Linked DNA regions of Alligator mississippiensis. The protein of the gene in region 1 interacts with the protein of each later gene in a biochemical or structural test. Links are inferred from orthologs where the notes say so. Each region holds a gene or a part of one and is shown in the gene's direction. Other genes may lie near its edges.

The links.
Region 2: of the proteins of RPS6KB1 (region 1) and MTOR, one has a biochemical effect on the other in vitro, tested with the Homo sapiens proteins (18 studies listed by BioGRID and IntAct, with this or other methods). The link is inferred for Alligator mississippiensis from reciprocal best matches to the Homo sapiens genes RPS6KB1 and MTOR.
Region 3: of the proteins of RPS6KB1 (region 1) and RPTOR, one has a biochemical effect on the other in vitro, tested with the Homo sapiens proteins (6 studies listed by BioGRID and IntAct, with this or other methods). The link is inferred for Alligator mississippiensis from reciprocal best matches to the Homo sapiens genes RPS6KB1 and RPTOR.
Region 4: the proteins of RPS6KB1 (region 1) and PDK1 form a complex in vitro, tested with the Homo sapiens proteins (2 studies listed by BioGRID and IntAct, with this or other methods). The link is inferred for Alligator mississippiensis from reciprocal best matches to the Homo sapiens genes RPS6KB1 and PDK1.

Annotation. Positions count from the first base shown.
Region 1 is NC_081837.1:3,662,792-3,670,121, forward strand, and holds the start of RPS6KB1 (ribosomal protein S6 kinase beta-1), read left to right. Parts: upstream 1-4,317; 5' UTR 4,318-4,445; coding exon 4,446-4,517; intron 4,518-7,330. Other genes in the region: TUBD1 (tubulin delta chain), read right to left, coding at 200-347, 1,125-1,296. UniProt on the Homo sapiens protein: Serine/threonine-protein kinase that acts downstream of mTOR signaling in response to growth factors and nutrients to promote cell proliferation, cell growth and cell cycle progression.
Region 2 is NC_081836.1:12,052,135-12,059,081, reverse strand, and holds the start of MTOR (serine/threonine-protein kinase mTOR), read left to right. Parts: upstream 1-3,946; 5' UTR 3,947-4,023; intron 4,024-4,052; exon of another isoform or gene 4,053-4,175; 5' UTR 4,176-4,214; coding exon 4,215-4,334; intron 4,335-4,506; coding exon 4,507-4,615; intron 4,616-5,887; coding exon 5,888-6,120; intron 6,121-6,489; coding exon 6,490-6,690; intron 6,691-6,947. Other genes in the region: UBIAD1 (ubiA prenyltransferase domain-containing protein 1), read right to left, coding at 2,993-3,542. UniProt on the Homo sapiens protein: Serine/threonine protein kinase which is a central regulator of cellular metabolism, growth and survival in response to hormones, growth factors, nutrients, energy and stress signals.
Region 3 is NC_081831.1:1,247,598-1,254,807, forward strand, and holds the start of RPTOR (regulatory-associated protein of mTOR), read left to right. Parts: upstream 1-4,198; 5' UTR 4,199-4,487; coding exon 4,488-4,649; intron 4,650-7,210. UniProt on the Homo sapiens protein: Component of the mechanistic target of rapamycin complex 1 (mTORC1), an evolutionarily conserved central nutrient sensor that stimulates anabolic reactions and macromolecule biosynthesis to promote cellular biomass generation and growth.
Region 4 is NC_081827.1:211,866,172-211,873,784, reverse strand, and holds the start of PDK1 (pyruvate dehydrogenase (acetyl-transferring) kinase isozyme 1, mitochondrial), read left to right. Parts: upstream 1-4,613; 5' UTR 4,614-4,668; coding exon 4,669-4,786; intron 4,787-7,613. UniProt on the Homo sapiens protein: Kinase that plays a key role in regulation of glucose and fatty acid metabolism and homeostasis via phosphorylation of the pyruvate dehydrogenase subunits PDHA1 and PDHA2.

The DNA of each region.
Region 1 (7,330 bases):
TCACCATTCATACCAGTAGTGTATCTTTACTTGCAAAAATACCATCATCTGTCTACAATAGCAATAACTCCAGCTCCTGTTAGATATACAGTGCATTATTTCATAGTTGCAATCATACTGTTTCTACAACAGAATGGCTATGAACTCAGTTACTTTATCATTCATGTACTGTATTAACAGAGCTTCAGATTATTCATACCCATTTGCCCAGTTGTTTCCAGACCCTTGTTTCTGACAGAAATGTGACTGATGGTCATACTTCCAGCAGCCGGATCTAGCAGCCATTGATAAGGTCTGACTGATTACTTTAGGTTCCATGTCAATAAGTACAGCCCGGGCAACAGGTACTGGAGAAAGTGGGGGGGAGAAAAACAAGAGAAACTATCATGCCTAAATCTTGTAACAAGAAAAAAAAAACATCTCATGTGCACAGGAACCTAGCAAGGCCTAAATCAAATCACCCCCCATCTTACTCATGGAAGTTGCACCATTAACTTCAGCGAAACATTAACTTCAATGAAACAGTACATCTGAATAAGGTAACATTTGATGTTTCATATTTTAAAAGGAGCTTTCATCCATCCAAAAGCTCTGCTAATTCTACATGGAATGAAAATCATTTTAGTAAGGAAATCTTTGCTGTCAGCTGGCATTAAATACGGGAAGGTTTCATACCCTAACTGCAGGTTTGGATCTACTTACCTGTGAAATAACTGAAGTCTGGAAAGAAAAAGTTTGTCTGGGTGAGAAACATCTGTGTTAGTGCTCATGGACATACAGGGCAATCAAATGCACTAAGCAAGTAGAACAGAATACTGCAGTAGGCATGTTCCCACATGGGAAAGGGTGGGCTTGAGGTTAAAGCTTAGGGTTTAGAAGAGTTGGATTCTGTTTTCAGCTTTGCCAATGACTTGATCGGTGACCCTGGTCAAGTCACTTAATCTCTCCGTCTCTGCTTTCCATTTGTAAAATGGTGGTGACGACACAGCTAATTCACAGGAGCTTGTATGTCGGGCTGGTAAATTCACAAGTCTCTATATAATACATGCTTGGATGACATTCAAAGTATTAATGAGCACAAAGGCAATTAGCACTGAGAGGGAAAAACCTCTTAAATACTGTACCTCCAGTTTTCTCCTCACTGAAAAAACGTTCTTTACAAGCTTCCTGATAGGATTCATTCTCCTTCTTGGAGCACAGCCCATGTGTACTGTGGAAATCGCTGCAGATAGCATTGAACACCTCATGGCCAATCTGATTACCACACTGACCAAGCTGCACTGTGACTACTGACATTCTTCACTTTGGATTTAATCCTAAAAAAAAGAGAGGTATGCTTTTATTTGCTATGGCTAAAACAAGTCATGAGTAGGCAGCTGTTGAGCAGTTCGGTAACCTGGGTAGAGAACAGACTGATTTTTCAGATATAATTCACCCTATGTTTAGAGGTTTTCCCAAACTACTTAAATTGTGTAACTGTGTTGATCCAGTAGCTGAAATTCCTTGGAGAAGGCTGCAGTCAACAATCACGTTCCATCCCCACAGGGATAGTGATGTGTTTCAGTGAGGATTGGGCAGGAAACTTTGTTCCCACCAACTGCTAGTCAAGCCAACAAAATCAGCCTCCCTGAGTTTTATGTGGTACTGAAGGCAGTCTCATTTCAAAGAGCCTCTCCATCTTCCCAGGCTGTGCTGACAGAGTGGCTAAGGTGTCTCACTATGGCTCGAGAGAGATGAGTTTGATCCTTACTCTGGGCTTGTGCCAAAGACTGCTCCCAGTTGACCCAGCTATAAATGGATACTTAGTCATCAGGGTGAGGATTTGAAAGGTGGCCAGATGTTTACTGATGGCTACAGCACTTGGCGTGCCTTAACTATGCTAGTAGCAATTAGGCTCAGGTGGACCTTGGACTGCTTTTTTTTTTTTTTTTTTTAAACTTAACTGGAACTTAATGGCTAAGTTCACCCCTGGTGAACTACACTGACTAATGCTACAGCGCCACCCTGACTTGTTACATGTGCAAATCTCTGCTGACCCATGAAGAACAGACTGATAGTTTGGAAATTATTTGCCTGCAATGCTGTTTTCAGACTGGTTTTCCAGAGTTTCCTACTGTTGTGGCCACTGGTTCAGCTATGTTGTTGCTAACAATTGTAAAAGCACTAACGTAGATACAAGCATTGTAAACTAGTGGGTTACCTAATCTAGTAAATGAAATGAGATGTAAAATGCTGCCAACTAGGCTGTATTATAATGTTCCCCCTGATGGGACTGTATTGATGGTAGCAACAGTAGGAAATTCTAGAAATAAAAGTTTAATTGTGGATGCTAAGTCCTGACATTCCCCACTGTGGGAAGCAAGATCTTTTTCTCCATTTTGTTTTCAATAGCAGGGCTGAAACATGCCTGATGTGACCTGCCTGGTGATCACTTCACCAGTAATCCTGTCTCTACAGCTGTTAACGGGCTCCTGCTTCTGAAAGATCTAAAACATCCCAGGATCCAGCCTCAAATAACTGAGAATTTATGTGCAATACAGGCACAACAATGACAAAGAGCTAAACTGACAGAAGGCAAAAGAATAAGCATCATTATGCACACATTCAGCATTCATCACTGTTAAATCAACTGCCCGTGGACGATTCATTGTCTCCCCATTTCTAAATATTAAGTTAATACTTACTCAAGGTATCAATACAGGTATATAACAGTGTATACTTTTATCAAGGGTGCAGAGGAATGATTATATTCTCTTGCTGAGCATGTAAGGGGTGAGGTAGAGCAGGGCATGATCAGTTTGGTCTCTTTAATCTCTACCTCCTCTTAAATCTGCTAAGATATGGCTTAAAACAAAGTCAGATTTTGCCCATTTAGCTTTGGAACAGAATTACTCTCTGCAATGGGAAAGAGGACTGAAGGGAATGCTGCACAGCGTTGACAGCCTCCAGTTAAGGAGCACTGAAAACAAATTGCTTATAGGGAAACTTTGGCAGTCAGCACTTTGTCGTGAACAGCAGCTGCTCAGGAGCATGGATGACAATTCCTAGGAAGCCAGCTGGATTAGCATTTATATTGCTACATATCATTTGATAAGGTTGCAGTCGACTCTAATAATTAACGTGGAGAATAAAGAAAAATTCTTTCTGCTCTCTGGCTTTTGCTTTAGTGAATTACAAAAAGCACGACCGAAAAGTACAAGCAGTAACCCAGCGGGCTCTAGACCCGGCCTGTATCGCGGTTCCAAGAACGGGGAGGCCGCCGCCTCTGGGTAACCTGTCCCGGCGCTGCACCCCCTGCCTAGGGGGAGAGTTTTCCCTAATATCCAACCTAAACCTCCCTTGCTGCAACGTGAGCCCGTTGCTCCTTGTTCTGGCATCTGCCCCCCCCCCAGCACAGCCCAGCTCCCTCCTCTGTGCGGCGCCCGGCAGGGATTTCAGTCCCCCTCGGTCTTCTCTTCTGCAGACTCAGTCAGCCCATTTCCCTCGGCCTCTCTTCGTACGTCACGTGCTCCAGTCCCCCAACCGTTTTCACTGGACCCTCTCCAACTTGTCCACATCCTTCCTGTAGCGGGGGGTTGGGGGGGGGTCACAAAACCGGACGCAGGACTCTGGCCGTGGCCTCCTCAGCGCCGAATACAGGGGCATACACGACGTCCCTCGATCTGCTCACGACGAGCCCCCTTCGCCGTCTGGACAACGTGCGCTCGGCTCGTAATCAGCATACTGTCCGCGGTCACCCCCAGGTCCTTTCCCACGGAGCCGCCAGGCCCCAGGCTTGCACTGCTCGACTCCCTTGGGCACCCGCCATCACCCCCAGGCACAGGGCTGCTGGCACCCCTCATCACCTCAGAGCCCCTCCCCCGCACCTGCCCCATTCCTCTGCCCCCCAGGACCCCATAATCTCTCAGAGCAGGGCCCCCCTCCAAACCCCTCGGCCCCCCATGACCCCTCCCCCCATCCCCTCAGCACCTACCCTCGAAGCACAACTGCTACAGGAGCCCCCCCCAGGGCGCATGCGCGGACTCCCCTCACACACTCCAGCCCACCGCCGGAGGCCCTGAAGTCCCTTTGAACACCCCGCTCTGCGCATGCTCCGAGAGAGCGCACGTTGGGCCGGAGGGGGTAGGGGATTGAGGGCAGGTCGGCCCCGTGTGGCGGCTTCACGGAACGCTCTGCGCCTGCTCTGTGCCAGCACCCGGTGGAATGCGCGCATGCTCAGGGGCTCCCCCGGCGCCAGGGCGCGCTCGGCGCATGCGCCTTGCGGGGTCCGGGCGGCGTGGGGCGCCTGCGCGGGCCGCGTGCTCGGGGTGGGGGCGCAGCCGCGCTGAGGCCTGGAGCCGGCGATGGCGGCGGCGGCGCTGAGGGGCGTGGGCCCATGAGGCGGAGCAGGCCCCGCGCACTCAGCACAGCCAGGGAGGGGCGGCGGCGGCGGCGGCGGCCCGGCCATGGCGGGCGTGTTCGACATCGACCTGGACCAGCCCGAGGACGCGGGCTCGGACGAGGAGCTGGAGGAGGGGGTGAGGCGCGGGGCCGGGCCGGACGGGAGCGGCCATGGCGGGGGGTGGGCCGACACCTTGCTGCACCTCAGCCCTCGCATCCTCCTGGCATTATCACCCTCCCCCCTCTGCCCTTACCTCGGGATGTTTTTTGGGGGGGGGAGGAGGGTGTTTTGTTTTGGGTTTTTTAAAGTTTTGAGCCCAAATGATGCGGAGCGGTGTCCCATGCAGCGGTAGCAGCCTAGGGGATCCGTTTTGGGGACACCTCAGAGCCGGGGGAGGCTTAAACTTGTGGAAGTGCTGTGGGCAGATGCGATATCTTTGATTAGACTTTATTATCGTTATCGTTATACTAATATTATTATTATCGTTACCTTTCACTGCTGTCTTTTATTACACCGAGTAGCAGTAGTCGGCGTGCCGTTCATTGGACCCAGTCGTTGACAGTTGAGTCGTCGGGGGTGGGGAGAGGGGGAGTTGTTTGCAAGCTTTTGGGTGCAGTCGCCCTTCTTCAGGAGTCTCCGCTCTTCTCAGATCTCTAAGGGATGCGAGAGGCTAAAAGTGCGACAGGATGTCCGTGAGGGTGAAAATAGGTAGAAATTAGGAAAACTAAATGTAAAGAAGCGGGGTGGGGGGCGACGAGAGGGTTAGGGAACTGTGCCCTCCTCGTCGGTTTTTCTAGGTGCTATTCGGATGTCTTCAAACATCCCCCGTGTTTGTAACACGTGGGGTGGGAGGCTACCTACAAACTTGCAGACGTAACTACGCATGACAGTGCCCCCAGACTGGTTTGGAGCTAGGGATGTAACTTCAGTCTGTTTTACTCTTTGCGCCCTCGCTCCGTGTGGTTTTGTGACAAATGGCGTCATATGTGCTAAATATATGCATACATTTTAATTTTTTTTTTATTTTTTTTTAAAGCTTTTCTTGCTAGTTACAAGGTGCCAAACTTGGTTGCTGCCTTGATAACGTAGCAGGACCTACTGTCCTTACTGGCTGTCTGGCTGTTTAGCAATAATGATCTTTTTGCCGCTGTGTGCCGTCAAGTTGAATAAAGCACCTATTTTACTCTGGCTCGAAGATTTGATTGATTGATTTTTTTTATTTAGTTAGTTAGTTAATAGACTGTTGTAACAGTCTGATGTAGGAAATAAACATTTCCTTGCGCATGTCGAAAGTTTACACATGGGAAGTCAGTCTTCCCTGAGCTTCCAGTCTCCTCCAAATCTAGGGAATAGTAGGTACAGAAGAGTAACCAAGGGTACAGTCTCTTCAATATACTAGTGAAAGTGCCTTTTTTTTCTGAGCTCCTAGTATTTAGCCTGCGGGAAGCTGAGCTCAATCTTCTGTCTTCAGTGTGATGTAAAACCTTTTTCTTACTAGTATTCATTTGGATTATTTGGAGGCCATCACTGCCTCTGGTTGCTGTAACGCAGTGGTGCTCAATCTTTTGGGGCCACGAGCCAGATGAGTGGCAAGGGGCCCATCCATGAGCCAGATCAGGCTCCACACTGCCTCTGCTTAGCCCCAGATTGAAGCCCCACACCGCCTCCATCAGGCCCCAGTGTGCCCAGATCAGGCCCTAGGCCACCTCTGTGCACTGATCCAGTGTGCTGTGCAGTGCATGAAGCTCTCCAGGGGTCTGGAAATTGGCAGAAGGGGAGTGACAGTTGGTGCCACTGCACTCCCACTGGCAAAGTTTTGGACCCCTGGGAACCCCTGTGGGCCAGATGGCATGGCTCTGCAGGCTAGGGGTTGAACACCCTTGCTCTAAAGAGATTTTAAGAAAAGACACAATTTTGCTTGTCCACTGAAGGCAACATAACTTGCAGTCTGTGGGAAGAAACCCTGGGCTTGTACATCAGTAGTCAATAAAATGCCTGGCAAAAATGTCCCTTGCATCACACCCCGAGGGTTACCAAAACAGATTTTGATGAGCCATGAGAGGGAACAAATTCCTGCCCTAGAATCTGCAAGAATTAACTTCAGTGGATTAAACAGTAGTTGGTAGACTGCTGTGATTGTAGTCTATCGCTTGTGCAGGAGGAATATTTGCAGCGCACAGTTGGCAGTAGTGGTGAGGGCCCAAACAGCTCTCAGACAGGATGGACAAACTAAGAGTTCTGTGGGACTCCCAAGTTCATGACACATACCCGCACTCACTGTTTGGGTAATGCTGAAAATAATCAGCAAGGAAAGAAGAGCAGAACAGGAGCTGAGTGACAATGGTTTTGTATTTTTCCTCGAATTCTGAAGTGGAGAATGCACTGGGGAGTAAAGGGAGCAAGCACTAGAAGAGCGTGAATGTAGCATCTTACTGAAAGTTGCCTCCAGTTAGCATAATGTGTGGTTTGGGGGAACAGAAAGATGCATAGAACTGAAAACTTAAAATCGCCAACCTGGAAATGAGCTGGGTAGAAAGCTAGTGTGAACTAGACAGTCCTGTACATAGAGCATTTTTACTCCTGAAAGCTGTACTGGCAGCAGCAGCAAGAACAGCTGCAGTTACAGGTGTTGCATACGGACATGACAATCCTCAGAAGTGAAACGTGAGACCTTTTGACTGGAGAGTTTGCATGTAAGAAATAGTTTCCAAAGAGTAGCCACCCAGGGGGGACACAATTGGTTCTCAAACTCTTGTCTGTATGAGATGACAAGAGAAGGGAAGATGCATGATGTATTTACAGACTAGCTTCCAGGATGAACAGTGTGATTTTTTTAAAAATCTATTTTAAAAAGTGAATTTGATGCAAGTAAAAATAAGACTTGGAAAATGAATGCATCTGTTCATAGAATGAGAGCAGTTACAGTCGACAGGAGTGCAAGCTTTGCAA
Region 2 (6,947 bases), on another chromosome or scaffold:
ACATTCCAGGCTCTACCCGTGGAGAAGAGAACAGAGATCACAAGAACTGGAAGTATACATTTCAGCTGTGGCAGGCCAGTAGGGGGTGCTCCTGCGCCGAGCCACCCACCTCACTGCACCCAACCACCTTCCAGGCTCTGGGTGCCTCCCTGAGGGTGTCTCACGTCTGGCCGACCCCCTTCCTGGAGCATACCCGCTAGCCTGGGGGTAGAACTGCCACCACCCAGGGATGGGCTCGATTCAGGCTCTGCGCACTCTGGGAAACACAGGCCTAGTAGCCCGCGAGGGTACTTGACTCACTTCAAGAGCTTGGGGTGCTTCCCTCAGTCAGAAGCACAAGTAGTGGTCTCCCTTAGTCAGCCGAACCAAGGGGACCCCACAGCATAATCCAGACCCACTCCCAATAAGTGTCCCACACTAGGTACAAAGGAGAACTTTATTGGTTACAAGGGGTAGGGTTGGAATAGGGCACAGAGTTGAGTAGTATCAGAGAAATCCCATAGAGCAAACTCCTGTGGCCGGGGTAGCCTTTGATCTCGCATCCGAGTTACTGCAAGCTATACATCTAGTTAGATCTCAGGTAGCTTACAAGTATCATCCAGAGGCAGGTGGAGATTCCCTCTGGAGGCAGGCAGTTCCTTGATCATGAGTTTTGAGAGAGAGAGAACGAGCGAGCAAGTTTTAGATGGTCCAGCTCCTCTCTCTCTCCGAGTTTTCCTCATGGCTGCTGCCCTTCCTCCTAGGCAGTCCTTAACTTATATAGCCCTTGTGACCTCATTTACCTGGTCCAATGGAGGCCAGCACCTGTTGCCTGTCAGCCAACTAATGTGAAATGCATCACTAGTTGCTGGGCAGACTGGCAGGCTCTAGCTCACCAGGATGCCCAGGCCCTCACCCAGGTATGTGGTGCCAGTCACGTAGGCAGAGGGAGCAGGTTTCCACCCCTCCCTCAGGAATGTATCCATCTCAGGTTACCTAAAGAGATAGGGTAAGGTGTATATCCTCTGCTGGGCCCATCCTAACCAAATTGTCACAGAGCAGAGGTTTTGGGTAGAAACAGGAGGTGGCCTTCTGCCACATCAGCCACCGTTCATGCCCCAGGTTTGTGGTGAAAAGGGGTCAGAAGCCATAGGGAGGCACAACAGCCCTTCTTCAGAGCCACTCTCCAGAGTAACCACTAGGGAGGTACCAAAAGAGAATTTTTAGGCTGATACCGATGACCAATTTTTAACAGGCCATATCGGCCAATACTGATCCGATTCTCATATGCAGCCAGGCAGCATGGAGAGCAGCACCTGGCTGGTAAGTCTGTTGTGGGGGAAGAGGCAAGGGGGGAGCAAAGGGGTATGGGGGGCAGATTGAGGCCCCCACAATGAGGGAGGGAGTGGGGCTGGGGCAGGTGCTGCACAGCTGAGGCAGAGCAGGCGAGCACCCCAGGATGGCACAGGGGGGCGTGTGCTCCTGGATCTGCACACAGGGAGTGGGCAGGCTGCCACTATGGGCTGGGGCCAAGGCAGCCTTGGGGTCTGGGCCAGGCCGCATTCAGAGTGGGCAGTGGTGGCACTGGGAGGGGGCTCTGGGGTGGGGCTGCAGCCACCACAAAATTCACTGTAGCCCGCCCCCCAGGCACCGCTCCCAGCGTCGCCGCGGTCTGCCCCGAGTGCAGCCCAGCCCAGCCCCTCAAGGCTGCCCCAGCCCCAGCCCATAGTGGCAGCCTGCCTACTCACTGTGCACAAATCTGGGGGCACATGCCCCCATGCCCTCCCAGAGTGCACGCAGCAGCAGGACCTGCCCCCCCCACCTGGATGGGCTGCTCACGGCTCCACTCCACCCCAGCTGTGCAGCCCCTACCCCACTCCCTCCCTCACTGTAGGGGCCTCGATCTGCCCCCTCTCCCCCACAACAGACTTACCAGCCAGACCCGGCTGCTCTCCACGCTGCTGGACTGAGCTCTGGGCTGCCTGCGTGCTGCGCTGCAGCTGTGTGCGTGCACAGGGCATTTAATCGGTGGCATTATTGGCCACATCAGCCAAAAAAAGCCAATTGCCAATACTGTCAATTTTCCTTATATCAGTGCCAATCCGATATGGGACCGATGTATCGGTGCACTTCTAGTAAGCACTCAAATATCACATTCACTTCCTTAAAGTTTCAGCGCATAGTAATTTGTTTGTGAAGTGTAATCTGGGGCAGATCTGGAGGGGGTGGGGTGCTCTGGTGCCTGTTGCTTCCTGCTCCACCCGAAGTTTAAAACCAACTAACTGCCTGGCAGTGGCTGCAGCATTTCTAGGGAGACAAATAACTTCATAGCTCATTATAATCTACCCCGATCCCTACTAAAGTCCTCATTGCACAGTGTTAACCACCCTCTCTTTTTTATAGTCTTGATGTGCCACTACTGGAGCTAGCCTTCATCCTGCCATGCTGCTGCCCGTTTGCTGCTCCTGGTCCCGAAGCTCCTATTCCGCAGCCCTGCGGACTGTTTTTAACTCACTGCAATGGAATTATATTTGTTTTTGCTTCCGCCTTAAACCGAACAACCCAGCCCCAGGCCCCCACAGCCTATGAAGAAAGCTCCTAGCTCATCACGAACAGGAGAAAGACACGCGTGACATTACACGTGCACCACCAGCCCAATCTGGAATGGGGTTCCCAGGGAGGTGGTGCTCTCCCCTACCCTGGGGGTCTTCAAGAGGAGACCGGACAAGCACCTTGCCGGGGTCGTCTGACAGCAGCGCTCTTTCCTGCCCAGGGCAGGGGGTCGGACTCTGACCTACCAAGGTCCCTTCCGACCCACGCATCATGAACCTGCATCCCCGTTCAAAAGTCCCAACCCACCCACGTGTACAAGACGGCAGAGGCCGTGGCTTTAGGACAGCAGCAGACATGGAGGAGAGGCCGTCAGACCCCCCCCCCGAGCCGGCGAACGCCGCGAGCAGCCATCAGGACTCCTGCTGGTCCCAGGCCGGCACCCGCAATCCCCAGTCCTTACCGCCGGTGTAGAGGAAGGAGCTGGAGAGCCCGCCGAAGTAGATGAGGGCCAGGTGCTCCAGCCGCAGCGGGGACAAGAAGTAGAGGCCGGCGGCGCAGACGCAGCCCAGCGTGTAGAGGACGACGCCGAAGCGCACCACGTCGCGCGGCTCCAGGAGATGGTCCACCAGCGTGCGGTCGTCGCTCTTCTTGTGGTCGATGCCCTTGGAGAAGTCATAGTAGGTGTTCACCAGGTTGCCGGCCCCGTGCACGGCCAGCACGGCGCCGGCGCTGCCCACCAGGCGCGCGGGGTCCAGGGCGGCCTGGGCACGGTAGGCCAGGGCGCTGCCCAGCGCCACGGGCGTCAGCGAGGCGCTGAAGCTCCAGGGCCGCAGCGCCAGCACGTAGGCGGCGCACTTCTGCCTCCAGCCGCCCGGCGGGCCCCGCTCCGCGCCCGCCTCGCTCAGCTCCGCGCCGCCGCCGATGCTGATCCCCTCAGCGGGCTCCGCGGCGGCGGCAGAGGGGGGGGCCGGCAGGGGGCCCCGGCGGGGCGGTGCGGCGGGAGGCCGCATGGGGCTCAGCCTCACGGGGCGCGAAACCCGCCGCGCGCAGCACGGGTCATTACGGTAACGGCGCCCTTGGTCGGCCGCAGGCGGGGGGACACTTTCAGCAACGCACCCGGAAGCAGAGGGACGGGTGTCCCGCCCTGGCGTCCCCCGGCGGCTTCCTGCTTCCGCCTGGCCACCTTCCCCGGTAGGGGTGGGAGTGCGGCATTCTAGCCAATCACGCTGCTTCCGGCTCGCCACTGGCGGAGCCCCGTGTCAATCGGACCGCTTTTTTTTTTTTTTTTTTTTTTTTTGCTCCCGGATTGGTCAGCCCAGCTAGCCGGCTTGGGGGGCGGGGCTGCGCTCCCCTAGGAACCCCGCCTTCCTCCCCACTCCATTGGCGGCGGTGGCTGCCACTCCGATCTGCCTGGGCGCTGATTGGGTGGGTGCTGCTCGCCGGCCCGGCGGGTGGAGCCGGGGCCCGAGCGAGGGAGCCGGCGAGGAGGCGGTGAGTGCCCTCCTCCCCCTCCGCGGTCACCTGGCGACGCCCCGCGGCGCGGGGCCCTGTCATGCCGGCGGCTGGCGCTGCAAGGCTCCGGGCCCGGGTCTGTGCGGGAGCCCGTCCCCGCCGGTGCCAACGCCGCGGTTTTGTGTCCCAAGGCCCCGCTGCGCGGGACGCCCTGAGCCGCCCCCGCCGCCATGTCGGGCACCGTGTCCATCCTTCAGCAGTTCGCCAACGGCCTGAAGAGCCGCAGCGAGGAGACGCGGGCCAAAGCGGCCAAGGACTTGCAGCACTATGTCACCATGGAGCTGCGCGAGGTGTGGCGGCTCGCGGGGTCTGGGAGGCCCGGGACGGGGGTGGCGGGCGGGCGGGCGGGGCAGGGGAGGGGCAGGGAGAAGAAGCCGCCGCCTGTTTGGATCCTGGGAGGCCCCGGCATCGTTGCTGCCCGGGGGCGGCTCCGCCTGGGCCTGAACTCTCTTTCCTGCGCAGATGAGCCAGGAGGAGTCGACCCGCTTCTATGACCAGCTGAATCACCACATATTTGAGCTGGTCTCCAGCTCCGACACCAACGAGAAGAAGGGGGGCATCCTGGCGATAGGTGAGCGCAGGGATTCGGTGTCTCTGGGAGATTCGCTCTCCACTTCCCCGTGACGCAAACAAGCTGAAGACCTGGTGTCTCCACGCTGAGCGCTTGAGAACGTGGTCCTGCGTTGTTACGAAAATACGGGCCGCGATGCTCAGCTGCGTTAAGTGAGCATGGTGTGCAAATAGTCTGCGCTCCCTGTGGCCTGAGAGCAATAATCGTACCCGTTAAAACCCTTCGCTCGGTGGCAGCAGGGCCCACCTCCAAGGAGCTTTTGCATTTATTCCCGGTAGCATCTCCCCTGATTATTGCCCTGTTGAGCTTTTGTTCTTGTGTGGCAGAGCAGCCTAAACTTTGCAACTCCTGGGGATACAGATCAGGGGTTCCTGACCTTTTTATGCTGTGGACCGGTAAGCCACAGACCAGCAGTGATCGGCGTACTGCGGGCCAGCAGCCAACCCTTTCTTATCCTCGGTATAAAAACGGGTTGGTTGCCGGTCCACAGTATGCCGGTCACTTCGGGACTTCCAGTCTGGCAGCCAACCCTCCTGCGGACCAGCAACCAACCCTTCGCAGCCCGGGGGTTGGGAGCCCATGATACAGATAGATAACTCGTGTGAAAACAGTCCCTTCCAAATGGATCCCTCATTTCTGCACCATTTGCTTTTTAATAACTCCATAAAGCTTCTGGATTGAGTTAAGCATCATAACCAAACCAACCCCGGTGTGCTTAGAGATGATGGAGGTCGTTGAGGTGGAGTGATCTTTGTCAATGACATCTCACTTTAGGCAGACAGCATTACTTTAAAGTTACTTCTGTGACCTTAGTACTGGTGGAAGGTGCCAGCTTGACAACCCTGGATACTGATGGCTCCTCTCTGCTGCCACGCTGCCCCTGCCAATGTTCCTTAAGCCAGGCCTTGAGAGACCACCTCTTGAAAGAGTACAGTCTCCTCCATTCAGTCCTGGGTCCATTGTAGCCGTATATAGATGGAGGTGTGTTGGAATGGATCTGTGTTCCCAGGGTGGATCTTTATAAAGTAATACAAGGAAAATCTGACTTATGGAACCTTTTTGATGCATTTCTCTGTTTTACATAACAGATCCAAGCTTGGGAAGAATGCTGACCTTTCCTGCTGCTTAATGTTTCTGGTGGATTTGCAGTTTAGGAAGCGTTAGCAGGAATCTCTCCAGGCTGCCTAGAAAGAACTCTCTTCCAGGGATTTTGCTACTGTTTGCCACACTAACCCACTGGCAGGACTTAACCCATGCTCTCTTTCTCCCCAGCAAGTCTTATTGGTGTTGAGGGAGGCAATGCCACCCGCATCGGCAGGTTTGCCAACTACCTTCGGAACCTGCTCCCCTCCAATGACCCTGTTGTCATGGAGATGGCGTCCAAGGCTATCGGGCGCCTTGCCATGACGGGAGACACCTTCACAGCAGAATATGTGGAGTTTGAAGTGAAACGGGCTCTGGAGTGGCTGGGAGCTGATAGGAATGAAGGTCGAAGGCATGCGGCAGTAAGTGCTCTTCTGGCTTCTCAGCCTTCCTGGGAACAGGCTCATGAGTAGCAGTGATGAGAACTGTGCGAGGAAGGATGCAATGAGTGGGGAGAGGGTTGGAGGGAAGTCCTAGCTGGGGAGTGGAATGGCTATTCTTCCATTTCTGAAGAGCTACAGGATGGGCTAGTTGGTCTGCTGTTAATGGTATTTGTTCTGGTAGTGCTTAGGAACCGAGACTCAGATGCTCCTGTGCCAGGCACTGTAGAAACCCAGCAGCATGCTTCCCAAAGCTTACAGTATAACTAGGCAAGACAAATCAAGCATGTGGAAGTTTTCTTCTAAATTCCCACCTCTCCCTGACACCACCATTTTCCTTCCTGTCTCCAGGTTCTCGTCCTGCGTGAACTGGCCATCAGCGTGCCTACCTTCTTTTTCCAGCAAGTGCAGCCATTCTTTGATAATATCTTTGTGGCTGTATGGGACCCCAAACAGGCCATCCGAGAGGGAGCTGTCTCTGCCTTACGTGCCTGCCTCATCCTCACCACCCAGCGGGAGCCAAAAGAGATGCAGAAGCCCCAGTGGTACAGAGTAAGGAAGGAGTTCCTTCCACTTTAAATAGCTTTCTTCTCTGTGTCAGCACACAAGATCTGGCCTAAGCTAAGGCGGTTAGGTGTTGGCTCCTCTCAGTCATGATTAAAAATATTCTGGCCTTGGGATCAACCAGTAGAAAAGGAACGGGTCGCATACACCGAAGTTTTATTGTGCTTTTTGCAACTTGTTGCCAGCCCTTTGATTTAGTCTATCCTAGCAATCAGACTGTTCTCAACAGAGCAGGTGATCAGACT
Region 3 (7,210 bases), on another chromosome or scaffold:
GAAATGGGGAGGAGAAGGGAGGCATTCCCTGGCTGGTTGGGGAGGAGGGGGACACTGGCATGGACGGGAGACGGGAAGGGTCCCTGGCATGCGGGGACAGTTGGAGGGCTGTAGTGAGTCCCTGAAGAGGAGGGCGTTGTGAGGGTGACGCACCGAGGGCTTGAGAAAGGAGGGGTCCATGGAGCCCCTGCCATGCACAAGCTGCTCAGGCTGCAGAGAAAAGTATGTGGATCCTGGTAAACCATCATTTCTTTTAAGATCCTGGTGTGGCAGAGGTGCCAGAGGGGCCTCCCTGCACGCTCCCTGCCCCTCTGGCAGTTGTGCTCTTTGGAGGCCAGCTTTCCCTGCACGAATGGGAGCAGATGACAAGAGCTCTCCGCAGAGTCATTGACTTTGGGATATGCTCCCCGAGCAGGCTGTCAGGATTTCGGATTATTAACCTTCAGGGCACAGTGCGCAGCCCATCTGTTCATTCAGGCTTTTTGCCTGAGGTGGATTAGTTGTGCTGGGTGCTCTAGTTGTGATTTTTCAGGTACCGTCTTGAGACGGTTACCCTACTGCCTGCAATTGTATTATGACGGAAGGTAATCTGGCCGCACTGGGTTCTGATTTAAATGACAATAAAAATGCAAACATAACGTTTCATCGTGCCCTGACAATTAATTAGTCTTTCAATTGCATCATGACCACAAACCAGCATTAAATAGTCATAAACAAATGAATGAACTCAGAAAGCCAATTAATCAAAGCAATAAATCTCCCCCTTTAAATACCCCAGGGACCTAGGTTTTTTAGGGAATGTTTTTGTTCCAGCCAGTTGAGGGCAAGATGATGTTTCATCTTTTAAAAATTGTATTTGATGACTGCAAATGCACTTGGAATTGTAGGCAAAGTGCATATGGCTTCATATATCAAATTATGCAGATGGATACAACTCAGATGTAAACCTGGGTGCGCTTTGATTGAATTGCCACCCGGGGAAAACACTCCGATAATCAGGGCTGAATAGCCCCATTCTTTATTCTGAGTTTTGAGTATAGTCAAGCTGATGATGAAGGAACAGTTTTGAAACTCTCCACCTGGTTTTCCTCTCATATTTACTGGTGTAAATCATGAGGAACTCTGCTGAAGTCAGTGGGCCACTGGCTCCGTTCCCCTGCACTTTGTGCAATCATTTGCATTGGTGCAAAGTGAACGTAACAGGTGCAAAATGCTGTCAGATCAGATTCATGTCGTGTGCATTCTTGCTGCAGTGGTGTAGGGCAAAGGAGAATGGGGCCTGACAGGGGGATGCTGGTGTGAAACTAGTTAAGGCCAGTGACTTGAAATTATGGGTTTAACTTTTAAAACTCGCTTTAAGGTAAAGATCATCAGGAATATCTGGTGGGAGGGCAGCTGGTCAGGAAGGTTTGGTCTGCTGTGGGATTAGTGCCTAGGCAAGACTCAAGTAAATCATGTGCTGCCTTTGTGTTTGCTCCCAGGGCCCCCATGGCAATCATCGAGCCTGTGTACTCTGTGTTCCAAGGAAGCAATATCACGGGAGGAATGAGGAGGGCATTGCATCAAACAGCTGCTGCCAAAGAGGCTCAGACTGAAAATGCATCTTGGCGGGACAATGACCAGGAGTGACTTAAAGGCCCTGTGAGCTGACAGCCGGTTTATCAGTTTGGCAGATTTATTAGAATTTCTGTAGTTTCTGTTTCTTTCCCTCACACCCGTCCTGAGAACAAAGGAGACCTCAAGGTCTTACTCTTTCCTTCCACAGCCCAAGACACGATCGTAGGCTTGCCTTCTTTTGCGCGTTCAGCTGTTTCATTATGTTATTTTTTGCATTGTGCATTGCAGAAGCCTGGATCATATGAATGTATTCCAACCCAGTCAACCATCTCAGGAGCAATATTAATGCATGAGCTTAAATCTGAGTGTTGTAAATCTAAACTACACTTCAAAATGCACCTTGCTCCCGCTCAAAGGAGTGCGTTTAGGGAGCAAACCCGCTCTTTTTGATGCACAGCTTATAAAAAAGCAATGCTTTAAAAAGTCCCTCATTTCTACAATTGCAGGGACCTTCTGGTTTCATCACAAAAATCCAGTCTTGTGGTGGGAATCCTTCTGGACTCTGCATTTGGAGAATACTTTGTCCCATGGGAATAAGCATTGCCATGATGAATCCCAGCTACACACCTCCAAAATACCGTTTGTATCTGAGAAACTGATCATTTCCCCTTGACTAAATATAAAGCAAATTCCGTGTCAGAGAACTTGAAGTGCTACTGGTCCTTGGCTCCAGGCTCCACTGCCCACCCCACGAGCATGTGCCGTGTGTTTTCCTGACACAATTCAAAAAACAAGGATTCATTCCTGTTAGCATTGTGTTTCAGACACATGGGCCCAAATAGTGTAAATCAGTGCAACATCCATGGAAGGAGCTGTACCTATTCACATGAGTGGTGGATAGGGCCTTTACACATAGCAATAGGATCCCTAGTATTGCTGCTTTCTCTTTCCTGAACAGTGTGGAATTAAGCTCCTCAGCCAGACGTAGCTGGTCACACTAATACTCTTCTCAAAGCTGTGCTGACATCAAAGACCTTGGTGCTCAAAGATGATTTGGTAGATGAGGGATTGTGCATTAGAAGTAAACAATTTAGAACAAAATGAATGCAGCAGCCATGACATGCTTTGTGTCTAGCCAAAATGAGGAAGGGAAAATCCCCGGTGTTTTCAAACAAAAAAGGACAACATTGGTAAGAAAGAAAGTGAACATGTTTGAGTAGAAACATAACAAATGGATACTGATTAAAAGCTGTTTAAAAATTATTTCAGTCTGTGTGTGTGTGTGTGTGTGTGTGTGTGTGTGTGTGTTTTATTGAGTCTTGTTCACCTTTTCTTGTTCACCTATATCTACTGGTCCTGGTTTCTAGAGCTGTAACTTCAGTGGGGCTGGGACTGTCTTTTTCTTCTGTATCTGTACAGTGCCTGGCACAGAGGATGTCTGGTTCCTGACTGGTTTCCCAAGCCGGTCGCTCCTGCCAGTCAAATGATGACTGACGATAACAAATATTGTGAGTTTATCCTCGCCAGCCAGGCCAATGAGCCATCCAAGGGAGAGTCCCCTCTTTAAAGCGTTGGCTAGACTAGTAGCTGCTGCATGACATTTGCATTTAAACCCACCATTATAAAGGACTGTACTCGCTTTATTACATGGATAAAATGTACCCCTCTGCCAGAGGCCACTCAGTCCTGCTGCAGCCTTTGAGCTTCGTGGGAGGTGCGGAGTCCATGAACAGACTCGACGGCTGGCGGGTCAGGAAAGCTGTCTTCACGCAAGCAGCACCAGAGATGTGCACGGCTATTACTCCCTCCAAATTACACCAGATCATCGTAGCCTCCCGGGGGGACAGCTGCTCGCTCTCGACTGCCTTCAGAGGCTGGCATAAAAACACTGACTCGTGGGGAAGGCTGACTTGGGGAAACTGAGGCTGTGTAAAAAGCAGAACAGCGACTGCGCCACCAGCCCCAGCACCTTTCTTCTCTTCCTGCCGCATGAGACAGCGCTGTGCCCGGTTCTCAAATGGGGCGCTCGTGTCGAAGCACTGCTGGCTGGGGACGCATAGCGGGCTTCAAGCGGGGGGAAGTCTGTATTTGAAGGCCTATTGCAATGGCTCCAGTGTTGCCAACTCTCAGGCTTTTTGGTGTTGTTCTTAAAGTCTACGCTTCAGGAATGTGAAAAACTTAGCTTTCTTTTATATATATATATAAAGAAAGATAAGTTTTTATATATATAAGAAAGTTTTATATATAAAAACTTAGCTCTTTCATATATATATATACACATACATATGTGTGTGTATCTATCTATCTATCTATCTATCTATCTATCTATCTATCTATCTATCTATCTATCTACACATGCCAGAAAGTATATATACACACACACACATATCTATCTATCTATCTAGATGTGTATATGTATAAAAGAGATAAGTTTATGTATATAAGAAAAGTTTGTCTATCTCGAAACTTGTGTCCCCGCCGGCCCGGCCGAGCCCGCTGGTGCTGTTGAGCCCTGGGCTGCTAGAAGGGCGGTGGAGGGGAAGGATGCTCCGGTCGCCATGGCAACTGCGGTCCTCTCCTCCCTGCCTGGCCCGAACGCGGCGTGTCCCGCGCGCCGGCCCGTAGCCGCGCTGCATGCCGGGCCTTCCCAAGATGGCCGCCCCCGTGTCGTGCTGCTGAGGGGAGTTTCGCCGCCCGGCGCCGCAGGACAACTCCCCCCGCGTGTCGCGTCGCAGCAGGGGGCTGGGGCCGCCATGGGCCGAGCCCGGCAGCTGGCCGGCAGCGCGCGGGCCCCGCGGGGCTAGAGGCGGCGGCGGGAGGCCCCGCTCGGAGCCGGGGCCCGACCAGGCCTCAGCGCCCCTCCGGGAGCATCCCCACCCCCCCGGCCTGCCCGCCCCACGGTGGAGGAAGGGCCCGGCTCGTGGCCCCCGATGGAGCCCGAGATGCTGCAGTCGCCTCTGCTGGGGCTGGGCGAGGAGGACGAGTCCGACCTGACGGACTGGAACTTGCCCCTGGCCTTCATGAAGAAGCGGCACTGCGAGAAGATCGAGGGCTCCAAGTCCCTGGCGCAGAGCTGGAGGATGAAGGACAGGGTAATGAGGGGCTGGGGCAGGTGGGAGAGGGCGCAGGGGTGTCTCGGCCCGTCTCGCCTCGCCTCGCCCGCGTGCCGGCACCCGTGGGAGCGTCTCTGCGCCGCAGCCACGAAACACGGGTGCTGACAGCCGGCGCGCTGAGCGCGGGCGCCTCTGCCCCCGGGGCCGCAGCGACGCAGCAGAGGGGTGCGAGCACACGGCTGCACGTGGCTTCTTCCTTACGGGGGAAACGGGGGTGTTCCCGCGCAGCCCGGCGAGGGGCTGCCTGGGCACCTTCTGCCCCCCCCACACTCACCCCTGCCCCCCACATGCACAGCCCTGCCCCCCAATACCCCTGCTCCCCACACACACACCCTTGCCCCCCCACCCCCTGCCCCCCCACATGCACACCCCTGAGCCCCCCATACCCCTGCTCCCTACCCACACCCACCTCCTGCCCCCCCACATGCACAGCCCTGCCCCCCAATACCCCTGCTTCCCACACACCCTCCCCCTGCCCCCCCACACACCCACCCCCTGCCCCCCCACATGCACACCCCTGAGCCCCCCATACCCCTGCTCCCTACCCACACCCACCCCCTGCCCCCCCACATGCACACCCCTGTCCCCCATACCCCTGCTTCCCACACACCCTCCCCCTGCCCCCCCACACACCCTCCCCCTGCCCCCCCACATGCACGCCCCTGCCCCCCACACACCCTGCCCCCCCACATGCACACTCCTGCCCCCAACACACACCCACCCTCTTCCCCCACACGCACACCCCTGTCTCCCACCCACCCCCTGCCTCCCACACTGGGTGGAGGGCACCGCGGTGCAAGGCCAGGGGGCTGCTTTCTACTTACATGATTTATAGTGGTGCACTGATAGAGATTTTGGGAGCTGATACCGATAGCTGATTTTTAAGGAGGCGTATCGGCTCGTACCGATCCGCTTTCCGATGTGCTTGGAGAGCTGCGTGCAGCTGGTAAGTCTGTCTCAGTGCACGTCTAATTATTTGCCCATCCATGTGTACAGATGGGTCCTGGTACAAAAAAGGTCGTGAACCATGGTTTTAAACAGTGCCTACGAAAGCAGCGCTTTTGTTAGGAAGGAATTTAAATTAGTAAGGTCCTAAATTAGTAAGGTCCTTGAAATGGAGCTCTCCAGGTCCCTGGGTTTCTGGTGTGGGCAGAGTGCGCAATAAACGCAGGCTTTCTGTTTTGTGAAGTTATCCAGTGGCTGATAGGTGCGTGGAAGGCTTTACTCTCTTTCCAGTATGGTCCAGGGAATATGGACAGTGTATTCTTCCCAGAGTAATACGAGCTGAGTGTTTAAAAGGTGGAAAATGAACTGTTAGATTCTCAAGCACTTTCACTTGTCGGGGCAGATCATATTCTCTTGGCTGAATCCACTAAGCATAGTACCAGGTATTACACTGATGTTTCTCTAGCTTGTATTGGGTAACATCGCAGTTAGCAGGAAACCTCTGGGATGTGATTTCTGGTATCTCAACTTTTCTGGTTAAATGTTAAGCCATCAAAGGTCAGGATGCCTTGGAAGGGAAAATATGAACCTGATGTACTGATAGCCCCTTCTGTGATCTGTAGACTTCCTGAGGTCTTGTAGGCATGCTGCCCTTTCCTGTGGGTGAGCAGTGGCTGTCTCTCCCAATCCACAACCATCTGAGGAATTAAAAAAAAAAAAAAAAAGCAAAAATTGCTGAATGAATATTATAATCTTACAAAACGTACTGTAGGCCATTCTGATGTAGATAAAAGTAAAAAGACCTTTTGTTTCCTAATTTCTTTGGTGCTCAGATAATCCATTTGTGGTGTCCTTCTTCGTAATAATCTTCTCCAAATGTCCTTTCTCATACACTGATTTCTTTGTGGTGTTTAGCTGACTTATTTTTTACTCCTGTGCGTCATGTGAATGTCTGGGGTCTGATGGAGATTGGGGTCTTATTGCCTCTGCCTTAGAGATTACAATGGACAAGGTGGACAGTGGGTAGCAAAAATGGAGATAATGTTCAAATAGAATAGATGCTAAAATGGTGGCAAACATCACATTAGTGTGATAATATTTTTGGATGGGGTGAGTAGTAGCTGGAAGGGAGAGAAGTAGAGAGAGAGAAAGAGAAGGACGTAAGAGGTAGATGTCAAGTGAGGCTAAGGGAGGGTCCTAAGTAGTAGCATAAGTGAGAGAGAAGAGGAATAGGTTATCCTGGGTCTCCGTTGAACATGCTTCTGCAGCAGCTCTGTCTCTCTGTGTTTGGCTCTTTGCTGCAGGTTCTTTCCCAGAGGCCAAATAGTTGGGGATGAAGCAGCTCTATATAAAGTTCAAATGCAGACTTGGAGAAGGGATGGTCCCAGCTGAAGCTGGTCTCATCCCCTCCCTTTCCCATCTCTTGCTCCCCACAACGGTTGACAATTCCAGGTGCAACAGTCCTTAAGCTGGACTTGCAGCTGCCCTTTTGTGCTTGTTAAACACTGCATTATACTTTTAAGTATGTGGGTGTTAACATCATGTCCTGCTTCAACTTTGATTTATACTGTATTGTGTATTCAAATCAAGAATAA
Region 4 (7,613 bases), on another chromosome or scaffold:
TAGATGATCCCAGGCTAAATTTAGGCGTGGGATTGGCAGGAGCCTCCAAACTGGGTTTGCAAGGGGTCCTGTCCTAGGGCTTAGACTTGGGGCTGATAGTATTGGCAGTTTAACTTTGGGATTGACGTGGGATCCTGGGCCAAGGTAAGGCTTGGGGCCCCAAGCTAGGCACAGATGTGGAGAAGGAGGAAGGTATAAACTAGCTTTGTAGTAGTGCTAGAAATAGGTCCTACTTCTAGCCCAAACTCAAAGTAGTCAGGCTGCTTCTGCTTGCTGCAATGTTGGCTCCCATCTTGGTAATACTAGCTGGTTAGAGTCTTAACCATAGCTCCAGAAGCAGATCCAAGTGGGGTGCAGTGGTAGCCCTCTGATTCCTGCTCCACCCAAACTCTAACTCAAAACCTTAACTCAGATGCGGCAATATTAACTTAGGTGTAGAAATGACTCGCAGTGAAGTATTGGAGGCACTGCCAAGCCACTCAAGAAGGTTAATTTTGGTTTATGACTCTGAATAAGAAAACTACATTTAACTGTGGTGAGTACAGGACTAATGACATGATATATCTTTGGGCTATTTTTTGCCAAGTTTGTTGTGTTTTTTCAAATTTTACATAGAATGTGCACTCATTTACTAGATTCTAATAGTTACTTGTTTTGCTTTGATCTTCAACTGAATAGTATATATGCTAGCCCCCTTGCATATTAGTAAAACATCCAGTTCTTTAATAAGAGACAACCATGTGTTGTGTTATGTGATGATATGCCATACCATCCGCACCCCCAAGTTTTCAAAATCCTAGATCCATCCATGAATAACTCCAACTGAGGGCCCTCTACCAAGCAACACCATAGTCTTAACCATGTGCTCCATGACAGTGCCTCTGGCACTCCTACTTTAATATAATCTTGTACCCCCTCTCCTAAATGCTCTGAACACTAGTTTAACCTTATGCTTTCAGCTAGGGATGTGAAAGGTTAAATGTTTAAATGATATTTATACTGGTAATGAATTACTGGTTAATGTGTAGTGCAGGGTGCACTCTGGCAGGGAAGCAAAGTGGCAAGGTGCATCAGGAACAGGAAGGAAGCAGGGTAGGCAGGAGGAGTGAAGGGGAGGAAGGGCCTAATGCTCATAGCTAGTAGGGCTGTGTGAAGTGTCGGTCACTGATTCAATTTGGCCCGATTTGGTGGCTGAATCTCCGAATCAGAGTAGAATCGGAGGACCCTTTAATTTCTCTGAATCGAATTTGAACCCTCTGAATCGATTTGGAGATCTGGACATAGATACAGCTTTGAATATTGTTTCTGCCTACTTCTAGGTAGTAGGGGCTTGTAAGTGCTGCGATGCTGGGGCGTGTGGAGTGTTCCACAGAAGCGTGGGGAGTTCCGGCTCTGCGGCTGAGCACACTGGGGAACTGGACCAGAAGCACTCCCTGTCCGCTTCTGGGTCCGCTGGAGAGTGCATGGGGGGGGGGCTGGTGCCCTCCGGCTCGGTAACTGGTGCCTCCTGGGTCTGGGTGGGAGGGGGGTCTTTCGGTCCACTTCTGGGTTTGCTGCCGAGCAAGTGGAGGGCACCCTGCACTCCTGTGGGACGCTCCATGCACCCCAGCATCACAGTGATCAAAAGCTGCGCCTGCTACCTGAAGGTACATAGAAAAAACTTTTAAAGCTGTCTGTCTGAATCGGTGATTCTCTGACTCAGCATCGAATCTTCATATTCGGATTCGGCCGAATCGAATCGGGGAAAGTGATCTGAATCAATGAATTGAATCGCTGTCCCCGATTCAAGCCGAATCTGAATCGAATAGGGCTCACTTTGTACTCCCCTAAAAGCTAGTCTGATCAAAACTTGATCAAGATGCACCATGAAAGATCTCTGTAACCAATGGTGTCAATAGACTTAGAAACACGATTCCAGCTGCATAACCAAGCACCAGACCGGCATCATAAGATGGGCTCAGACTTGCTCTAACATCAGCAAGGTCTGATGAAGGGTTTCTTTCTACAATACAAAGACAAGAAAGAACAGCCCCCACAAGCCCAGAGGAAAACACCTCAAAATGTTAACAGTTTTAATTCCAAACAAAATTAAACAAAAATGTTAAAGGTTAATTCCAAATTAAAAATATAAATATTGCTATTAGAAGTCTGTATTATCTATTGTGCCTGCTTTTGCAATATCAAGTAAATGAGACAAAAAGATTGGAATAGATAGCTTGCAAGTGGAGGGCATTATCATAAATGCTTATGATAAGATAATGACTACAAACTTAACTTTACAGATGTGTTTGGTTAGAAAGGTGTAGAGGAATGCAGGAAAGAATAAGGGTCTCAATGTTTCACCCTCTTTGAAGCCGTATGAGTGAAACTTGCAGTGGAGTACAATAAAGGCAGCTCTTAAGAATTCAGTCTGTGAGCCCATAGCTAGCTGCAGCATCTCTGAAATCAATTCTCTTAATAAAAGGCTGGTTTAGTTTTAGAGTACTTTCACTCAGAACAGAATATGTTTAAAAAAAAAAATGTCAAAAGCTGAGCAGGACCACAGCAATATGAAGTATGTTATTAATAGGTAAACTGTTAAAAACAGAACAACGGCATGGAGAAAGATACTCAGACCCCCAGACATGCTAAGTTTCCAGACAAAAATATTTGTTCCCATGCTTTTGGATGTTGCGAGTTTGTATGGACAGAGGAGGCTCCAGAGCACATTGCTCATGACTCATGCCACCTTCAGCACTGTTCTTTCCAGGCCATCCAAAAGAATAGGGTTTTTCTTACAGTAATGTATCTTTTTATTTGATTGTTTTTAAGTACAGAATTAAAAAACACCCCCATCTCCACAGTTGGCTCACAGACCTCATTGCATGGCCTTAGAAGGTTTTGAGATTTATCTTAGCCCTCTGCTGAGATGGACAGCACAAGGCAACTCTCCTGCTCCCTTCTCTTTCAAACACCTACACCCCCAAGGGCTTCTTGCCTGAAGCCTTGCCAGCAATCCCACTCTCTCTTCAGTTTTGGGGAGTTTTGTAGTCTGGTTATTTAGAAAGTTGGTGCTAGTTTGCCCTCAGAGCAGTTCTCAACCTCTCTAGCAGCTACCCCTTTCCACCTGAGCTGCAGCCTCTTATCTCCAGCTGTGGCTAGTCAGCCAGTTAGCTGCTAAGGAGCTCCCTTTCTCCCCTCCCAGGACTTAGTAGGATGAATATATGCCATTTTCTATGACAGTCTGTATATAAACCATAGAAGATAGAGATGAGAAAAAGGTGGTAGAGGTTTCTTGTAAATTTTTTTTTTTTCACTGGAAGTGGGAGGAGAGGGAAAAAGGAGAGGCAGGATTGCCAAGAATAATAGATTCCACCACATCCAGGTAGAATCAAAATGCTACAATAGCTTCACATCTGTGAAAGAAGGTCTCAGGCAACCCAACAGTGTGCTGAGGAGAATGGGGTCAACAGGCAGCAAGAGTTATGCATTTCAGCAGGCATGGTCTCCTAAGCATTGTCACGTCAGTTAGTGGACCCTGGCTTACTTTTAGCAAATGTGGTCTACAACTTAGAAATGGGAACTCTTGTCACATCTCCACGCTAGCCAGACACACAGCAAAGCCAATTTTTGACAGCAAGACCCACATGGCAGGGTTGACCCCACCACAAGGAGCAAGTGCCACAAGAAGTCATGCACTAAGCAGTAATCCTAGGACACTGATGCTCAACCTTTTTGCCCAGCTGGACTATTAGGCAGTGCCTGGTCCACGCCCAAACTTGGCTGGTGGACCCAATGCGGCACTGGGACAGGTGCAGCAGGGACTCCTGAAGCCATGTGGATGGGGGGCAGCCTCTGCATGGGGGAAGGGAAAGGGGACTTGGCCCAGTTCTAACTTGGCCCCATGGTTGGAGGGGGCATGACCCAGCCCTAATCCAGCTCCATGGGGGAGGGGGGTGCATGGCCTGCTACGCAGGTTCACGGCCTGGCTCTGAACCTCTGCATGGGTTTGGGGTTTTGGCAGCCGGGTGGGGTGGCAGAATTCACTGCCACTGGTCCCTGGCACCAAGTTTCCTGACCTTTGGGAGCCCCACAGGCCAGATCCCAAGGCTCCACCGTCTGCATTTGGCACAGAGGCTGCCGGTTGAGCACCATTGCCCTAGGACACGTACCGCCGCCTCACACCACAAACCGCTTCGTGAATGGGGAGAGAGCCAAGAAGATGCATGCGATGGCCAGGCATGAATCCGCAACAGGTCTAGGAAACAACCTGTGGGGAAAGCCTGGAAGAACGGGGAAGGCCGCGCGCGGTGGGACTGGACAGCGGTCTTCAAACGGCAGACGGGTGGTTACAGGGAGGATGGTGAGGGCTGCCAGAGGCAGGGCAGGCAGCTGTGGGTGAGGCTGGCAGCTGGGCAGCACTTCCCCGCTGCGGGCTAAAGCCCGGCCCGGCCACCTGCCGCGCGCCGCCCCTGCCTTGCCGCCCAAGGAGGAGCGGCCACGTAGCTAGAGCGCCCCCGCCGGGCCGCGCCCCACCCCCCGCAGCCTCCGGGCCAGCGGCAAACCCGCGTCGCCCGCCCCTTCCCCGCCTCTGCCTCCTCCCGGCGTGAGGCGGCGCTGCGCTGCGCGGGGCGGAGCCAGCTGGGCCGGCCGAAGGATGGCGGTAGGCCCGGCCTGAGCGGGGCCGCCATGCGGCTGCTGCGGGCGCTGCGGCGCTGCGTGTCGCCGGCCGGGCTGCCGCAGCAGGTGGACTTCTACGCCCGCTTCTCGCCCTCGCCCCTCTCCATGAAGCAGTTCCTGGACTTCGGTGAGTGCCCGGCCGGGGCAGCGCCGGCCCCGCCGGCTCCCGCGCGGCCTCCCTGGTCGAGGCCGGCGGGGCGAGGTGGGGCTGGAGCGCCCTGCTCCGCTCTGTCCTCTGAGGGCGCCTTCACTGCCAGGCGGGAGCAGGGGGAGACCCTTGCCTTTGTGTGGAGCAGCCTTGAGGGGTGTCTGCCCTCTCAGGTGCCGAAATGTCCTCGGCGTCCTGGAGAAGTGGGGCTGGCGGGCTCCTCCAGCGGGCACCTAGTCCCACCCCTACCCGAGGGCGGACGGCGGGGTCGTCCCTGCTCAGCCCGGCCTGTACAAATCCATAACCTGAGCTCTTCCTAAAACCGCTCTCAACAAAGCCTGCAGCTTCAGGCAGCCTGGCGCCAGCCACAGCAGAAGTTGCATGGCTGGGGAAGCGATGACAAGCCTTGCCGTACCAAGCAAAGCATCCAGCAGCCCAGGCCTCCGGATGCACCCTTGTTTAGAGGAGTGGGGGGAAGTGGGTGGAAGACCTGTTGATGTGCTCTGGATACATGGAAAGGGAGGAAATGGCAAATACAACATCATGATGGGTGGGTGTCTTTGCTATAGGCCCCAGCCGGGAGGATAAGTTGGATGATGGTTTGATTTGATGTCTTTCTTTATTTCTTTAACATCAAGCAGATCTAATGGAAGCATTCCTCCCTGCTTGCTTCTGCGGCTGTATGGCTGAGGGCAAACGAAACTCAGGGGCATCCGAACCGCAAGCCTCTGGGCTTGGGCCTGCACGTAGGATGCCCACCAGAGGATTTGGGAACATCTGAAGCCCCAGATGAGGGCCAAGGATGTTTGCCGGTAGTAGGGCCACTTATTGTTCTGGACTGTCTCTGATTTGGAATTGACTTGGCTTGGGACATGGAAAAATTTAAATAATAATAAGAAGAAGATCTAATGGAAGCGTTCAAATCATAGGTCTTGGTCTGTTTGAGGAACTTTATCTGTGTCCTGCAGATCGCATGGCAGTCCATGTGCCCAGCATTTTTATAAGATGAGCTTGAGAACTTAAATTCAATAAGTTTGGACACTAAGTACACCAGGGATTTAACATAGTGACTTCATGGCCCATTATAATCTACTTGATAACTTCTGCACTTCACTGGTGATAACAACCCTCTTGAGCAATCTTTTTTTTTACTCGTGCTTTTGTTCTGTCTGCTGCTTAGCTCTGCTGTGTCTGCTTCCCTCCCAGAGGCCAGAGGGATATGCCTACATCTATTCCAGCTGGACAGTTGGCCCATTAAAATAGATCACCCACAAGAATTCTTGCCTCTGCAATTTTTAAAGAGTTATGATTATGTTAAGCCTTGTTGAACTTCGGCTAGAAGCAGATGTTGCATTAGTCCTAGGACACATTGTGACCATGTTTCTGACATAATAAAAGTCCTAGGACCAGCATGCACACACACACACATCATTCTTTCAGTCAGGGTTTCATGAGCAGCTGAAAGCACTGCTGCTTCTCTGCCATTGACAGATGTAGTCCAGGAGGTTCCGACATACTTTGTGATGTCCTGCAACAAACTTTCAGCACTTTTTGTCCCATGATCCTCTTCAGGATTTGTCTTGGGACAACAGATATGAATGTCTGAATGAGTAAACTTTGTTCTGGGATAAAATGTTTTTTTCTGGGGACAAATGGGATGTCTGTTTGTAGCCCTAGTGGGTATAACAGCTATCTTCCATCTGGGATCGGGATCAGTGTAAAAAGTGGCTGACCTCCTGTATAGAAACATGCAGAAACTAGGGCAGGCTGGCACTGCAGAGACTGCCCTATCTTCTGCCTGACTTGTGACTAACATGACTGAGCCACTTCTCTTTATAGACGTAGATAGCTGAAACAGTAGTGGCCTCTGCCCAAAGCAACAAAACATATAGACAGTGGGTTTTAACTGCTTATTGTTTTAGAGAGGTGTGAGAAAGAAAGCAAGCAAAAGTCATGACAGTCTGAGCACCCTGAGAACGTGGCCCCGAGAAAAGATTATAGATAAAGCTTTTGGGCTAAGTGCCGACTAAGAGGAGGCTTGGAGCAGTAAACAGGGACTGCCTTGTTAGTTTTTTCTCCTGTATTCATACAAACTGGGCTTTGTATCTTCATTATAGTGAAGCAAAGCATCAGAGAGAAACCTGACTTAAGCATCAGTTTATTTTGATGGGAGACCACATTTTTAACCGTGTTCTCAGTTCAAGAGGGATAATGGAAGGCATTTCCTGCTACTTGAAAACAAAGTACCACTCACAAAATAAGTTTGGAAGTGTCAAGTCATACTGTAGTAGACCCAAGTTTCAGCAGCAGGTGTGGAGGTGCAGGGTTGTGCCCCCTGCTGCTGCCAGAGGGCAAGGAGTGCCTTGCCATGGTGGTGTGGGGCGCCTGGCAGTGGCACTGAACCTCCTTGCCCAGACCTGCTCTGGTCTGCCGTGCTAGGTCCTGTCAATTGGGCTGCGGAGGCCCCAGGGGGAGTGCACCAGACCTTCCGCACCCCCCCTGTGCCCCACAGGTTCCACTGTAGCCATGCTGCCTGTGGGAGAGGGGGAGCTGGTCTGCTCTGCTTCCTGCTTGGGGTGCAGCAGCTGGGGCTCAGGCACTGCTGGGAAAGCAGGGGGTTGTGGACTCGGGTCCCTGGCACCGTAGCCTTGGCAGCTGTGGGCCTCTCTGGCAGGGCTGGGGGTGGGGTGGGCTTGTGGGTGGGGAGTGAGGGGCACCAGCAGGGCTGGGGTGACGGGGGCGGGAGGGGCTGTGGGTGGGGAGTGAGGGGCAATGGCATGAACAGGGTACTGGCATATCAGGGCTG